Lepisosteus oculatus: one gene and its partner. The protein of the gene in region 1 interacts with the protein of each later gene in a pairwise test. Links are inferred from orthologs where the notes say so. Each region holds a gene or a part of one and is shown on either strand. Other genes may lie near its edges.

Region 1 (8,484 bases):
CTCCTGCAGGTGCTGTATCCTGTTATTTCCCAGTTTGAGGATTTCCAGGCTATGGGGGAGTCCACGAGGCATGTGCTTTAACTTGTTCTTCAGGAGCTCCAGTGTTTTTAGGTGGCTTTGAGACTTGAAAGTGTTCACTTCTATCGATTCTATTCCACAAGATGACAGAACAATTTCTTCAAGTTGTGTCAGTCCAGTAAAATCACATCTCTGAAAAAGTATATAAAAACATTGTATATCTCAGTGATTTCGGCTTAATACCTACATGAAGTCAGTTGCCTAAGACAAAAATTCAGAACAGCTCTATGAATAAATGAATATACTGACATAAAATATTGGATTTAAATCTTGATGAAGGCACACGTACCAAAGATACCAAACATCTGACATTTGATATGAATGGTCATGACTTGTGATAGACACATCTCCAAGCCTAGAAATGGCAGACTACTTAAGTTCAGGGCTTTATAATACAAAATGTCTCCTTTTAGGACACTTCAAAATGGTTTATTAAGAGTTTGTGGTGTGTATTTCAAACCACTGATCATGCTAGACAATTTTTTTTCTTGTTGATTGTTTTCAGTTGCAGGTGTGTCAGTGGAAAATATATCATTCATTACACACATACCTTAATTAACGGGGAATTTTAATTTACATTTCTTTACTGAGTGGTGGTGAATTGTAGTGCCATCATTCTAAAGTAGTAAGATCCTCACTCCTTGTATAGTTTTAGTATAGGACACTTAAGTTCATGAGCAATTAAAATTGATTTTGTGGTTTTATGGACAATTAGGGATTGGACTTTTATATTAATTTTCAGATCATTGAAACCACTGAATAATTGTCTTCAAAGTATCATTCTTTCATAAAACTTAATTGAGAAAAAAATTGATATTTTTATATTGCATTTTAAAAGATAAAAGAAAGAAAATGCCATTATTCTGATACAGTATGTAATAAATGATTCAAAGCATGCCTCATGACTTCCTATCTTTTTGGACATAATGATGAACTGCTACTGTGAGCTACATGCATGATTAATGGATATTAATTTAAGAAAATAACTAATTGAACATACAGCCTACAGAATAACTACAGGACATAAATTGATTTGAGTTTATTATTGTTCAGATGTCACAAACCTTTAATTTATCAGTTAATAGAAAGCCTTCACAAATATGTTTTAGATTGAAATTAATTATACAGATTCACATAAAATATAGAAATAATTTAAAATCTGGAGGATGATGATGGTTTAACGATAATTCATCAGGAATATGTGTTTTTCCTAAAATATCAATATCATAATTTAATATTCACAAATATGTAGATTATGTGTGTGAAAATAATCATACATATTTAATCTATAGCTGCTGTATATCCTAGTACCTTAATCACACACACAAACTTCTTTTTATGTGGTAGGTTGTATTTAAACTTTGATTTTAGAAACGTTTCTAAATCTACATAAATATCATGAAAATTTTACCATCCAAAGAGATTCTGTTTTCTCAAGGATACACAGACAAGAAAACAGACAGGAACAGAATATATTCAAGTAGGTAGCTGCGTCAGCATGCGTAGGCTGCAAAGGAACAGGTAACGAGTTTATATTTCTTTTCAGCATGGAATAAACTCGTTATCTGTTCCTTTGCAGGAACAGAATATGATTCACAGATATGTTTAACTTTTAAATGGACTCCATATTTAACTATTTATACATACATCCTTTATAACCCACTTTTGTACATAGAATATAAATGCTTATATAATCTACACAAAAGCAGCGAACAGTTCGAAATACTGTATTTGTTTAAATTCCAAGGCACAAACCACTTAAACCTTTTTCTCTGTTGCTAAGAGAAGTCTTAAGTCTTCTCAGAAACCTCCTATAAATACTGGTACAAGTGTAAACTCCCCATAGTGCAAATCTCTGAAGGAAGTTTATATCTCTGGTCGGCTTGTTTAGCTTTGCTCTTACCTTTAAATCCTTAATGTGGTTGTATCCTAGATTCAGTTTCCTTGTATCTTTTGCAGTCCCAGACGGTACAGCATGTACCCTGTAGCACTGTATCGACTTTTCGTTTTCACAAATGCAATTCTTTGGACATCCATTGTCATTTAGGCAGTAGCAGAGATGCAACAAGATGCAGATGGAAATTAAAATAAACTGCATGCTGAAAATACAACTAGGGAAGTCACTTTGGTCCAGAGACAGCACTCTCTGTAACCTTCGATCTCTTGTGTGACTTATATAGCAGGACATCCTAAAACCTAATGCTGGTAAGAGAGTGTTTTCTCAAGCCTATTTGGAACAATACTACAGATTTTTATCTTGGTTAAAAAACACCACTTGACACTAACAAGGAACTGACCTAAACAGTAATAGATTGGACCTCTGTTTGTAGACGTGAGAAACTTGCTGATAAACAATTTATTGCCCTTGCTGGTGAGTGCGTGCAATTTCCTTTGCTTTATCCAATTCCTTCCTGGGTGCTTTTTTCAATTTAAATAATAAAGCACTCCATTGAAAGTGTCAGTGGATTTTTCACTTTTAAAATTTTATAAGATCTGCTAAATCCTCCTTGGCTCCTTAAGGAAAAAAATGCCAGAGATTAATTAGCTGTCAGTCTTTTAATTGTGTCTGTGTTGTCATTTGATAACACTTGTTGCCACAGGTGTCCTTGGCTCCCAGTGTGCCTGTTACTCAGGCTTTATCACAAAGAGGGTCACCCAGAGGAAATACTTTTGAAAGAACAACCCATGTGAACTGAGGTTGCTGAATAGGGGTCACAGAACCCGGAGGATTGCTTCATTTGTGGAGCAATAACACCACAGAGATATGTGACCCTCCCAAATAATATGCGATCAAGCCAAGAGATTAAAAGATTCCATCCTTTAAAAGCAAGAGACACTAAAACACAGATCCTACTCTTAGCTTCTGTATCTGCAGGAGTGTGGGATATTTATAATTCATCTGAGAGGGTGTCCTGCTGTGTTGAGATATAAAACATTTTGCTCCCTGTGATAGCTTGGAGATAATGAATATAAAAATATCTTATGTGAGAACAAATAGTTCAATTGTTTTCGTGAGTGCTATAATGGTGAAGTTCAGTATGTTTTCTCATTTATAATGTTTAAGGTAAAAATATGCCTTTTTCACAAGAACAGAAACAGCTTGAACATTGTGCCTGGCAACTTTCAGCAATACTTAGAACAAAACGTTGTATTTGTATTTATTTTAGTCTCCATTGTAATAATCATTTCTACTTCTCTCTTGGCCTTGCAGTTCATCATATTAGTGTCCTTAAACTGGATCCTGTTCATTTTTTAAACTGTTAACAAAAGTATTTTTCCCCAAAAATATTTTTCTTAATTTGATTACTAACGCAATTTGGGGTGTAACTTTGATTCACTTACTTCTGGCATTAACCTGTTCAGTTTTTTTAGATGGATATTTTTTAATAGTTGTCATCCATTCTCCAATCTTTCATTATTTACCCTGTTGCACTCTGGATCTCTCAAATTCCCTTTCATTTCTTTAAAGTCAGTTTTCCTGAAAGTATATATATATTTAAAACTCTTTTGGACTGTACCTACTGTACACAGTTTTAAAAATGTGAATAGCACAACACGTTTTCTCCGTGAATCTGTACCCTATGTTTTATTTATTCTTTGTCAATGTTTTTTTGTCTTCTACTTTAAAATGTTTTTGTGTATGTGGAATATGTGAGTGCAATACAATTTAACCAGCATTTTTTTTACTCCTGGGGTGCTTTATAAATATTTTACGTGGCCAGAGGGTTAGATGCATGCAGTGGTTTTAAAATTTCACAAAATAACAAACCTATTCAGCACGACACCTTTTTTATGCTGAAGAAATACTTGGTAAACGATGTGAGGGGTGGGATTCGTATTTCAGGATCACTCGGTTTATAGGGTGACACTTTTATTTAAAACAATGGATTAATCTTTATCTTAGTGAGATTAGTTCTCATTATACATTACACATGGCACACGGCGTGGCGGTCAGGCTCACGACTTGCGTGTCCTGAGTTTGATTCCGGGCTGCGGTGCCTTTCTGTATGCCTCTTTCCAGGTGCTCCAGTTTCCTCACGCCTTCAGGAACAAGCTTACTAGGTCTCCTGGTGTCAGGAAATTGTCCCCGTGTGTGTGCTCTGACGGATGGACACTTCGTAGAGGATGTAGCGCTGCCATGCACTCTACGTCCGGGATAGTCTCCGGGTTGCCCTGATCTTTTTAAAGGATTTCTGTAAGCGGCTTTTTGATAATTTAGTATTGCACTGCATATTTTCCCGTCGGTATGCAGGTCTTAATGAGCTTGCTTGAGTTACCGGTTCTTCAAACAGCCAGCAGATGGCCATAAAATGTGCTTATAATTGCTTACCTACTAAAAGCTATTGAATAGTAGTCAGTTGATATAAAAAATAATCAAATTAATTCAATTAATAAAAAATAATAAATGAATCAAATATAAAAAATAAAAAATCACCGATATGTCAAGGCATTCTCGCATAACTTTTAATCACACTTTTGCAGATATACGTTTTGACCACTTCTGTAAGATCGGGAGTGAGATTATTTAATTAGTATCATTTTCTTTTTCGTTTTTAAGAAGAATATTAGCCATCGGAGAAATAATTATTTTATTGTGTAATGGTTTTGTTTATATGGCATGAAGTAAACATTTTGGGTATAATTCCATGATAAAACAGCTGATCACACGTGAAGAAATGAGTTTAGACAGATTCCCAAAACGTGATTTTCAGAATGCTTTTTTCAAACACAGCACAGCTCCAGGTAAAATTAAATGGAGGCAATATGTTTTGAGGCTGGGTAAATCACGGTTGTTAGATCTGTAAGTAGAACTCCCTCAGGTCTGCGTATCCTGTTTTGACGCTCTAAATCGATTATCTCTTTACTCTCTTGCTTTTTCTTGACGCAGGTCCAGCTGTGTGGCAGGCAATGATAGTCAATCACAGACTCGCAACCAATCCGCACTTCGGATTTCCTGGTCCGCAGAAGCCGGACGGTACGGTAGAAAACAGGGTTGGCTAAGACGACAGAGCGTGGTGTAGGATAGTAATATTTTATTTGTAATAAATAGATACAAAAATAAACTAGAAAAGTGATTAATTTATTATCGAAAAGGTGCTGCCTAGAATTGACAAGTAGTAATTCGTCGCTTGCAGTATCTGTGATGTCTGCGACGGCCGGCGGTGTCTCACCAGCCCCTCAGGGCTCGGCTCTCAGTGGTCCCGGTTCGGGAATGTCAATGTTCCGATGGTTGGAGGTCCTGGAGAAGGAATTTGACAAGGCTTTTGTGGATGTGGATCTGCTCCTCGGAGAGATCGACCCCGATCAGGCTGACATCACCTATGAGGGCCGTCAGAAAATGACCACTCTGAGTTCCTGCTTCGCTCAGCTGTGCCACAAGGCTCAGACCATCTTCCAGTTAAACCACAAACTGGAGGTAAGCACTCGGACACAGAGCATGTTAAAAGTGCCCGACGCCAGACGCCAGACGAGACCTGTACGGCGATTTATTGATTAGGGAACATGGCGTAGCTTTGCAAGTTAAGTCACATTCGCAGTGCCGTGAAACCCAAGAAGTATGCTTTATTTTAAAGTTCGTTTCTGTACTTGTATGTCAGTTGTGTTTGCCTAAAAACATTGCTCTGAAAACACAGTCAGAAGATAAGATAATTTAAACCATTAGCTAAAGATTTAGCACAAATTTGTCTTACTGAACATGGAATTTATACCTAGCTGTTCAGAGGAATTAACTTATGTTCATTGTGTGTTTTGGTATCTTTAGCGTTTCTTTGAGGTGTCACCAGAAGCTTTAGTTACTGATGTTAGAATTATGCAAGATGTATATCAGATATATTTTAACCTCAAATACTTTTATTTTAAACCAAACTAGTCTTTGCTTTCTCTTTATCTCAAGTACTTACTGTTGGCTAAGACAATAAGAATAGAGTTAATAACATTTTTACCTGGCGTTTGGCAAAACCTCATAACATTTTTTAGTATGTTTGTTTTTGTTTTCTGATTTGTATAACACATTGGCTTTTTACTTTATAAGGTCACGTGAAGGACCACATTTGAAATTGTGAAATAGACATACAATATCCACTTCCTTGATGTGTTTTGTTGGATTTTGATTTTAGGGGTTACCTCAGTCCTGTGGAGTAAAACTCAGTAAACATGAGTTGTAATTGTACTGTGCTGTACTTCAGTTATATGGTAAGGTTTACAGGCTGGTGGTTTCTGAGAAGAAATCATCCAGTTCTGCTAGTGTGCAACAGAAGGCACAAGACAACTCTTTTGTAGATGACAAAGAAGCTTTAGAGCAAACAAGTAGAAATCAATTTCTTTATAAATCTTATTTAAGGTATCATCATTGTAATTCTTAAAACTCACAAAATATTGAGTTAAAGATTTTAAATAATTTGTGCCCTATCAAGCATTTTCTTGTGTCTGGAAAAAAGTAACATTTATGTTAAATGTAAAATGCAGGATCTTCTTCACACTTGTTAATTCCCTTTTGTAGTGAGTGGCAATTCAATTTTCTGTCATGTAACACTTGTCTTTTAACTGTACTGTGTGCTGTGCTAGTGGTTTTCTAATCCATCACCAAATGGTCTTATAAAAGCAAGCTCTTCTACCATTGGTTTAACTGGTGTGTCTCATTTTATACTTAAAAGAATGGATAGTACCCAGGCTAGAATGTGAATGGTTTGTAAGGCCTGATCTTTGAGTAAACTGGCTACATTATATACATTACAGAAGTCAGTCAACGTTTTGTGGTGTGTACTGTATGAAGGAATATATATATGCACAGTTAGAATGAAACTAAAGTTCAAGAAGGTATAATTTGTAAGGTACATAATGTAAAAATGTTTTATTATTTGTGCCTTTAGAGATGCATAAATGTGATACTGAATTGTTTTGGGGGGTTTAATAAGCCATCAATAATATGCTGTAGTAGGAGAGGCAATAACTTCACTGTTGACAGTAAGGTTGTTTTGTACGGAAAAGTTAAAGAGAAGAAATAGTCAGTACCCATGTTTGGCATACTTCATCAACTGAATTTCCTAAAAATAAAACCTTAAAATGGAGTTATATGAAGTTACAATTTCAGTTGAGAATATATTTTAATGAACTGTAGAGCGACTGGGGATTTCACCTTCTTAAAAATCTTTTAAGTAGAAATAATGAAGATCATCACATACTGTACAGTGCCTTGCAAAGTGGTTCCTCCCTACTAAGAGATGGAAACAGTGCTAAGGGTGGTTCCACCAAATACGTCTACGCTAGGTTTTGATTCTTCTTTGCAGGTTTTCTGTCATTTAACATTTTGGACCGATAAAAGTATCTAGTTTAAGCACTCAAGTTTTGATTGAAAATACTCACTTTAAAAAATGTGTATGCATCATTTGTAATTCAACAAAATGAGACATAACTGTAAGGGAGAATATGCTTTTGCAGGGCACTTCGTCTTTATCAGAAGCAGTATTTTTTCATATCAGATTTTTCTGTAAATGACTGCCGCAGCCCAGGAAGAAAATAAGCTCTGGTTAAAGACATGTCACGCTACTGGGCAGTGTATAATAATAATAATAATAATAATAATAATAATAATAATAATAATGTTTCTTTATTAGCCCTGTACAATATATTGCATTAGGACTTAATCTTTTCGCATACCCCAGCTTTTCTCCATGAGACACAGGACACAGACAGGAAGAGAAGCTTGGGGTCAGAGCACAGAGTCTGCCATTGTACGGCGCCCCTGGAGCAGTTGGGGTTAAGGGCCTTGCTCAGGGGCCCAACAGAGTAGGATTCCTCTGCCGGCTGCGGGATTTGAACTGGCAACCTTCCAGTCACAAGCACAGATACTACTAAGCAAAACATTTTAGTTGATCCCTAGAGAAACAAAAAAAATTCACAAGCAGACAGAAATGCTTACTGCCACTTAGTATGTCCAGAGCCTTTCCAGGAGCACTGTTCCTCTGCATGATATTTTAGACACCTAGATATTGATAGCAGCACCTGGAGGTTATGGAGTTCAAAGCTACATTATACAGTCCCGGCATTCCTCAAACTCACTGAACATAGTAGTTTTCTGAAAGGTCAAAAATGAGGCCATCTATGCAGACAGATCAGTGAGGGTGCTAACTATTGGTTTCTAATAACAGCACCTTAGTCTCCAAAGACAGCCAGAATGTAAGCAGCTAAGTATACCGTGACCAAGAATAATTTGAAGTCAACCACATCTCTGAAACTGCATTATTTACCTGTTGATGGTGACTCAGTACACTCTGTCTGTACCCAGACTGGTCTTGTGGCCAAGTAGGTTCTGCTAGCTGTACTACAGTCCGTAGCCACAAGAAAGGCAGGTTAAAAAAAGCAACATGTACTCAAAGGTGTTACTGCATCGTTACCTTCATATCTTCT
Region 2 (8,010 bases), on another chromosome or scaffold:
ACATCCGCAAGACCATTACAAACTACACTCAAACACACACATGTACTGTATTCACATGACATGCTGATTCAGAGCTCTTTTTGTGGTTCATTGGTTAACCATCAGCACGGTGACGTTTGTGTGAGACAGTGAAGCAGCATCCCATGGCACTCTGGTGTTAATGGCAGAGTGGAGTCTGAGATACATACTGTACTTTACAAATAAGAATTCTCAGGGAATGAGTCTCCCATAGATCCTGAAATACGTGCAGACCATTGTTATCATGATGTCACCAAGCATATGAACAATTTCTGTAAGCCAAGGCGGACAGGTAAAGGGCTGAGTAAGAAGGAGTTATTCCAAATTGATGAAAGCTTATGAAATTTCACAGGGCTACTGAGAAAGACACTGTTGACATTCTTTCTAATGACCTGAGAGCTTGCAATTAGTTTGCACATTCTTACAGAGACAATCCTCAGCTTGGAAAAAGAAAATAAAAGATTCTGAAGTCAAAATGTGAACTATGAGATTGTCAGCTGAACTGTTACTTCTGCTTTAAAGTGGTTAGAATTAGTGAGATCTAGGTATATTTATTTTTCTGGGAGTGTAATAGAAATTGTGAAAAGTAAGAGACTAATGCAATGAAGTGTGGAAACCTTGCACCATTGAACATAGTTTCTTTACAAGCAGTTAGCATTGATAGATCTTATAAGGTTTTTAATACTGTACTTCTTCATTAAAGCAAGACATCCCAGTATAGTACGTCTCAATTCTATTCTAGTCCTCAATACCCGTCACCCAGTGACAGATCTTCCAAAAAGTGTGAGGGAGCTTAAGCCACCCCAGTATAAGCAAAAGTCATCCCAGTTTAGTCACCCTACATTAACCTCTATTTGTAAAACTGCTAAAGGAATAACTTGAAAACTGAACATTTAAAATGAGTTGAAATTAGGGTTCAATTATGTAACTACAGGCTGCAGAAATCTTGGGAATCTAGTGGATTAAATTACTTAAATATGCAAAATATGTAGGAATGGTTTCACGAACCATAATTATCACTAAATCAGATCTACCTTACAGTATTTAGATAATGATTATGGGTATTGATATAGAAATGTGGATATAATTATTCCAAAGTTTGTGGCTGTGACACTTTACAAACAAAGTAAATCAGTGAAAAAGGCTGTTTTATATGCTAAAACTCTGCACACAAATAGAGGTTTTTACAAAATATAATATGTAATTTGGTCAAAAATAAAGCAGAAATAAGCAAACAACAAAGCAAAAACAAAGCACACCATATTGAAATTCAGTTTCAAATATATTAGGTCACTGTATATTAATTGGATGCTCCAAAACATCTCTGTCATACAGTAGGTAATTCTCAAAAGTTGGTCACCTCAGTGCAGCCTGCTAGGCCACAAAAGACACCTCCCTCTATTATAAGAAGGATAGGTATTTGTAATACTTTTTTATACATCATGCACATTGCAGAATGTGTAGACCCACGGAAACACCCAGGAAGAAACAACCACTACTTTGGCCTGCAACAACACATAGCAAAAAAGGTCTGTATTTCTTTTAGGTATTTTTTGTTTGGATTGGAGGTTATCATCCAAATACATACTGTAATTCAAGTAAATTAATGACATCTTGAGTCACATAGGCTAGACTTTAAAAAAAAAAGCATTGCCAGTGGGCACAGAATTCTCTTTTGTGAGCAGGTACATTCCTGCTTGGGCAGATCTGTAAAGTGAGATTGGTCACACCATGAAATACAGCTGTTTTCTTATAAATCTTGGAGATTGATCTGGAAATTGGTAGGAGAAATTAAATTAAAATCAGCTGAGGACCTTCCTATAAAAACATACTTGTTAGTTCCTACAAATTTCAATGCTCCTTGTGGCGACTTCACAGTGTTGATCTATTTACTACAATAACTGCATCCACTTTGTTCAATTAATAAGTTCAAAATTGATTTTGCTTGTAGAAAAGATGTGAAGACTCCAGATGATTCTCAAAATGAATTTTTTATATAAGGAAAACAAACCTTCCACACTAAGTTGTTTTTAACAAAAAGAAAGTTTGTCCATACAGTTTGCATTTATGCATGGTGTTTAATTTCAATATAATGAATGACAAAAAAATCTCCCCCAACACACGCAAATAACTGTTCTATGTTAAAACACATTCCTTAACACACATTTGACTGCCTTGTTCATAAAAATAGCCTTTTAAGAACAGCTTAATATTCAGCAAAGCAGAATTATTGGAATGTAAAAACACTGTTGTCTAGATGAATTACAAGGAGAACCTTGCTAGCTTCTCTTGCCTTTATTTTATGTTTCCTGAGCAATGATGGACAGAAACTCCATTTGCTAAGGATTCTTTCAAATCCTTCTTCCAAGTCATGTTTGACCTGAGCAATCATGGTATCATTTCCTTGCACAGCCTCTAAATCTTGACTAATCTTGTCAACTAACTTAACTTTAAAACATTCAAGGGTCCTTGCAAAAACATACCATGGTAATTTTCACACTATTGTGCCTGTTATAAACAGTACATGATTCATCTGAATCATGGTATACCACAGTGATTAATGTTATATTGTATTTGTTATTGTTAACCAGTGTAAGGTTGTGATAACCATAATATTGCATAATTTGTAAGTATTCAAGATGTTTGTATAGAACTATTGTTTATTGTTAATTGTTTTGTATTTACAATAGTATGATATATATTGCTTAAGAATACTTTGGGAATTTTGCACAAGTTATGTTTAGGGAAGGAAAAAGTGGAGAAAACTTTGCAATGCAGTGTAGCAAACTGCTCTGAAAGATGGGTTTTGATAGTACAAGCTTGTTGTAGTCTAGAAGTCATAACTTCTTTCAGCACGGCCTGAATGTTAAAGTATCACAACATGTACAACTTGGCTTGTTCACTGCAGTCCTTCCAAGCCAATTTAAGCTTCTTTTAATGTAGAAAAACTAAAAAATATAAAAATAAAATACCATCATTACTGACTTAAAGCAGAAGAATCCATTGACTGGAGTGTTTCACCTTATACTAGTTTTGTCAACTTCTTTTTATATCTAAAACATTGTATTGAGTTTGCTTAATTACTATCATCCTTTATAGGATTCTATTTTTACCATACTTGTTATGACCACTGTAAAACTACATAAGAATACAAATTATTCTAATTATATAAAATGATTACACAAATGAAAGATTGCAGTGTAAAGCTGGGGTCCCCACTTTTATTTTAAGGATTAAAAAATCACTAGCAAATGCTGTAGATGGAAAAAGACATTAAAACTATTCATGCTGAATCACAAACACATTTCTCCTAATACTAATTGTTTGAGAAACGACTCGTGCATGCAAGCTTTGATTACTTCCACGTTGTTTTTAAAGAAGTGTTTTTTAATTGGATTAATTAAAACAGAAAAGAAACACTAGAAGACAGATGAAGAGCATTGACCCCTCTTGTGGAGAGCTAGCATACACTGCACAGCAGGTAGTATTAGCTTAGAATTGTACGTTGTTTCGATAAACCTTTGGCCAAGTTCCTTCAATTAACGTTGCGTTTTTGGAAGCCAAGAACAGAATGTAATAAAATACCTGTAAGTAGCTGTGGCGCAGGGTGTTATTTCTCTCTGATGAAATGTACTGAAGCTGCTGGGGATGAAGCGAAGAAGCCTATGAATTTAACAGACTGCTTCATTACGGTTCTCCAAGTCTGTAAACTTGCCGTGCCTTAAGAGCCGAGTTATAAGAGCCCTGTGCTGTCGGCTTACGGAAACAGCCGAATCCAATTCACGGGAGCAGCCAGACTTCGGGAAATATTCAATGCTACTGTTTCTAGGTTTACATGGATGCCGTGGGAGTATTTGAAACCGAGATTTACGCAGTCTGACATATTGTTTGAAGTGAAATCCTTATGACATCTCTGACATAGCGTCAGCTAGATTTCTTCAAAGTCCAAATCTTATTTCTATGCACTAACTCTATGAGTTACCGATATGTTTTGATGTCCCTTCAGTTCAGTGGCGATAGTGTCCGTATTAGGAAATCTACAGTATAATGCTTTTTTAAGGCAGAGCTAATTTCCAAGACAGCTCCATATGATAAAGTTTAAGAATGAAATGAGAGTGATTACTGGTATGAGAGACCATATGCACTTCATCAGACTTCATCATGCTACTATAATGTTTTACATTAGACTACTTACGTTTTGCTCTTAAAGTTATTCTGCATAAATCTTCCATTACATTACATTTCATAACAGAGTTGTGCTGAATTAATGCCCCGGAAAGAGAAAAATCTAATTTTGATGTAGTGTCAATGTTACATTTTATAATTTCCAGGGAATTTGCTGCGGAAATCGAGACACATGCATTTCACTCTAAGCCCTACTGAAAACGGGTATTGAATTTAAATTAATAGTTTAATGAAGGACTTCCTGACATTACTTGTGCATTTGGTAAAGACAATAGCAGATAGTTGCGGGGTGAAGCATGGTCCTTCATAATTCATTCTGTCATTCAAAACTACAGTATCACAGGTGGCAAGAAACAAGCGTGCACCTGCTCGCAGAAACTGTAGTCTGTCAGAGGTCTCATCATCAGATTAATACACTGGCGAAATGAGGATTATAGAGGTTAATGTATGTGTCTGAATTTGGTTTAATCAGAGGTATCAAAGTGGGTATAATGAAAGTACTCAAATGCCATGTAAGCATTATTAAATAACTTTATAAGAGCTGCTAACAAATGAGCAGTTTGACTGATAAAGCAGGGTCTGAAAGGATATTAAGCAATAATGATGCAAAATAAAGTTAGATTCAATAACACATTAAAGCTGGTTTTCTTAACTTCATCATAGCTCTGGAATTCTTATTAGATGTACTTTCTACGTTTTTAATGTTTGAAGACATCTGTTTGCTATTTAACTGCATTGTTACTTACCCTCTCCTTTTACAATAGCTATTAAAATCAGAAAAGAAGGTCTGGGAAGTGTAATACACTATTTAAAACATGCATTTGTAATAGAAACAGGTATTTTAACATGTAGAAGAATTAATATAAAGTGATATACATCCCCAAAAGAAATTAAGTTAATAAATAAATTCAGTTATCAAAGCAGAATATGTTCCTGGGGTAATATTTATACCTACAATACCTACAGTTCTAATTACATTGTCTTTATGCATTAATATAATTGGCTAAGTACAGTATATGTTACAGAAGTACAGCATTATCTGAATCAGTCTACATACAGTCTACACAACAAACATCTTGCTATAATATCTAAATGCATATTACAGTATAATACCATTAAAATTGTTACATTTGCCCCATTCTGTAGAGTATGCTTTTTTATTATCCAGGATGTAAGCGATTTATGAATATGTCTTCTTTTGTCAAAGTAAACAAATTTCAGAATAGTCTATTGCCACAGGTGTGTAAAACAAATACAACACACTTAATTAGTTAAGAAAATAAATTAATGGCATATTGCAGTTCTTTGCAGTATCACTTTCTAACAGATATTAAGACAAATTCCTTGCTTACATGGTCTTATTGTCTAAATCTAGCAAAGTTTGTGTTGGTTTCACTGAAGAAATAAAATTACCAGTAGACAAAAATAGAACACCTCAAATTTTATTTGTGTTTTTATTGGAAGAGTATTATGCATTTTATTCTGCTATTTTGCACATGCTAGCCAGGAGCTTATTTTGTTATTGAATTCTTTCCTTTATGGCAATGAAAGCCAAAGCAGATATCAATCTTTATCCAGACTGAACATAGTTTGCAGTATTATCAAATACTCCCATGTCATCCTTATGCAATTAATTTTCTTTTTTTTACCACTGTATCACTCTAAGATTATGCTTGTAATGTATTTTTAAAATATGAAATTGGCTCATCATTATTATTAGTGTCATTATATTTGTGTTAATGATACTAATACATGAAACTGGATCAAGTGGTACCTGAAAAGGAATAAGCAAATGGTTTTGACATTCTAACACATGTTTTTTATAAAGGTTGTAAGAAATTAAGTAGGTGAAAGTGATTCTGATTCATTTCTTTACCCTTTGTCTATCTAGGATGATGTGCCAGGGTCATTTCTTCTTTGCATTAGTAAAAGTAAAAGCTTCTCTCTCAATACATGACCTTAAAACATGAACTTTCTTGCTTTAAGATGAAGTTCATAGACTTGGCAAGAGTGCAGTTCACTTGACAAGTTTAAGAAACGTAAAACAATGAGACTTTTACCCTCCTGAAAAAGACATACAATTTTTTTGTTCCAAAAACATGCAGTACAGTATCTGGGTAGCCTGATTGAAAATATTCAAATTCTTGGAAGGAATATTATCCTTGCAATAACAAAAAAAAGTTATGTTGTCAAAGTGAGCTTATTAAACTAACATAGCACAGAAAACTAGGCAAGTGTTTAATTGTTGGCTGTATTTACATTAATTTTCATAAAAAGCAATGAATGAAAACCCATATTCTTTCAAAGACAGGTGCAGCACACAATGCCTTGATTATGGGAATAATGGCCCCAACAAAATGAAGTGAAATTACTGCAGATTTCAGCCTGAAAATATTCAGATTTTAAGAGGCCATGCCTGGCAATCTGGTAAAGATAAAACCTTTTTATCTTTAAAACCTATCCTACAGAGTTTGTTAGTAAAATAAAAAGTTCAACACTGAGAATGAACCTGGTTTGGAGGAACAGGACATGTATGGCAAATACTCATTTGACATACAGTAAGCAAATAAATAGTCACATATATAAAGAACAACTCTTCATTCTGGAATCATACATTGCATTTAATCATATGTGGAGGCTTAAAACTTTGAGGGGCTGCTCTTTGTCTTAAGCAAGACACAAATGTGGTTAGACTTTGTATGGTGGAATCAGGAAACCAGTTCTGTGGCAAGGCATTCCATTCCTGGCAAACAGTGTGTATAACACTGCAAAGAACCTTAACATCTGTTACTATACCCAAATTCTCCAGGAGGGATGTCTGCTTGTTCAAGCCAGTACTAAACCAAGCATAATGCTATATTAAAGAATACACTTCCCCTGGTTAGGCGAAAATCAAAGATGCAAAGAGCGACCAGAGTACCCCAAATCTGCCATGGCCTTGGAAAACAATGAAGTTTAATCTGCTTACATCAAGTATACAGTATATTCCATCACACTAGTGCTGCTGTACAGTATTCCGAAATTTGTTAGCAAACCGATTGCTACAGTATCTCATGGTAAGGTAGGCAAGGTCATGTTATACTTTACATGATCTATATATTCAGCAGATGTCATGGCTTTAAATGTGTTTTCTCAGTGAGATATTGGTTTTGCTGCTAGAGAATATTACTTTAACAAGCATAGCCAATTGTACTGCAACATACTTCTCAAAATCAATTCGAGAGTGGCAACCATTCTAATTTTTACCGACATCCCCTTTGAAGACTTGAATTAAAGGTTATGGGCCAAAATTACAACGTAATATTATTCTAAAAAATAATGCAAAACAAATGTTGATGTATTTTAACATCATATGACATAAAGGACTATAGTGCACAGAAGAAGTTGTGGTGATGTTCACAATTTTTGTAACTTTTGCTTTTAAACTTGTGATTTCCTCTAAATACTCAATTATAGCAGACTTTTTTACATGAAAACTTTTTTTAAAGTAAAAATAAGATTTATTCAAGCAAATAGACAATTTTTTAAAGCTAATTGATGTTATGGCTAATTGTATGTCAATTCACTAGTTTATCTTTTAGTAGAAAACAATAGTATTCAGAAGCAATTATTTACAGTTTTCAATGAAAATGTTTAATTTCAAGATATTCAATGGTAAAAAAATTGCTTGAAATTTTAAGAAGCACTGGAGTTGAAAACTGTTGTTAGAAATGGAACTACACAATTATACTATTGATCTTGACATACTTGAGATAAAAGAGCAGGCCAGGCCAATATCTCAGGAAATGTAAGTGAAGTATGAAGTAT

What was found.
Region 2: the proteins of gopc (region 1) and myocd interact in binary tests that used the Homo sapiens proteins (3 or more experiments, as listed by UniProt). The two-hybrid records come from large-scale screens. The link is inferred for Lepisosteus oculatus from reciprocal best matches to the Homo sapiens genes GOPC and MYOCD.

What each region holds. Positions count from the first base shown.
Region 1 is NC_090697.1:32,949,351-32,957,834, reverse strand, and holds the start of gopc (Golgi-associated PDZ and coiled-coil motif-containing protein), read left to right. Parts: upstream 1-4,977; 5' UTR 4,978-5,221; coding exon 5,222-5,494; intron 5,495-8,484. Other genes in the region: nephrocan-like, read right to left, coding at 1-210, 1,982-2,176.
Region 2 is NC_090704.1:37,589,519-37,597,528, forward strand, and holds the start of myocd (myocardin), read right to left. Parts: upstream 3,711-8,010; 5' UTR 3,604-3,710; intron 1-3,603. UniProt on the Homo sapiens protein: Smooth muscle cells (SM) and cardiac muscle cells-specific transcriptional factor which uses the canonical single or multiple CArG boxes DNA sequence. Acts as a cofactor of serum response factor (SRF) with the potential to modulate SRF-target genes.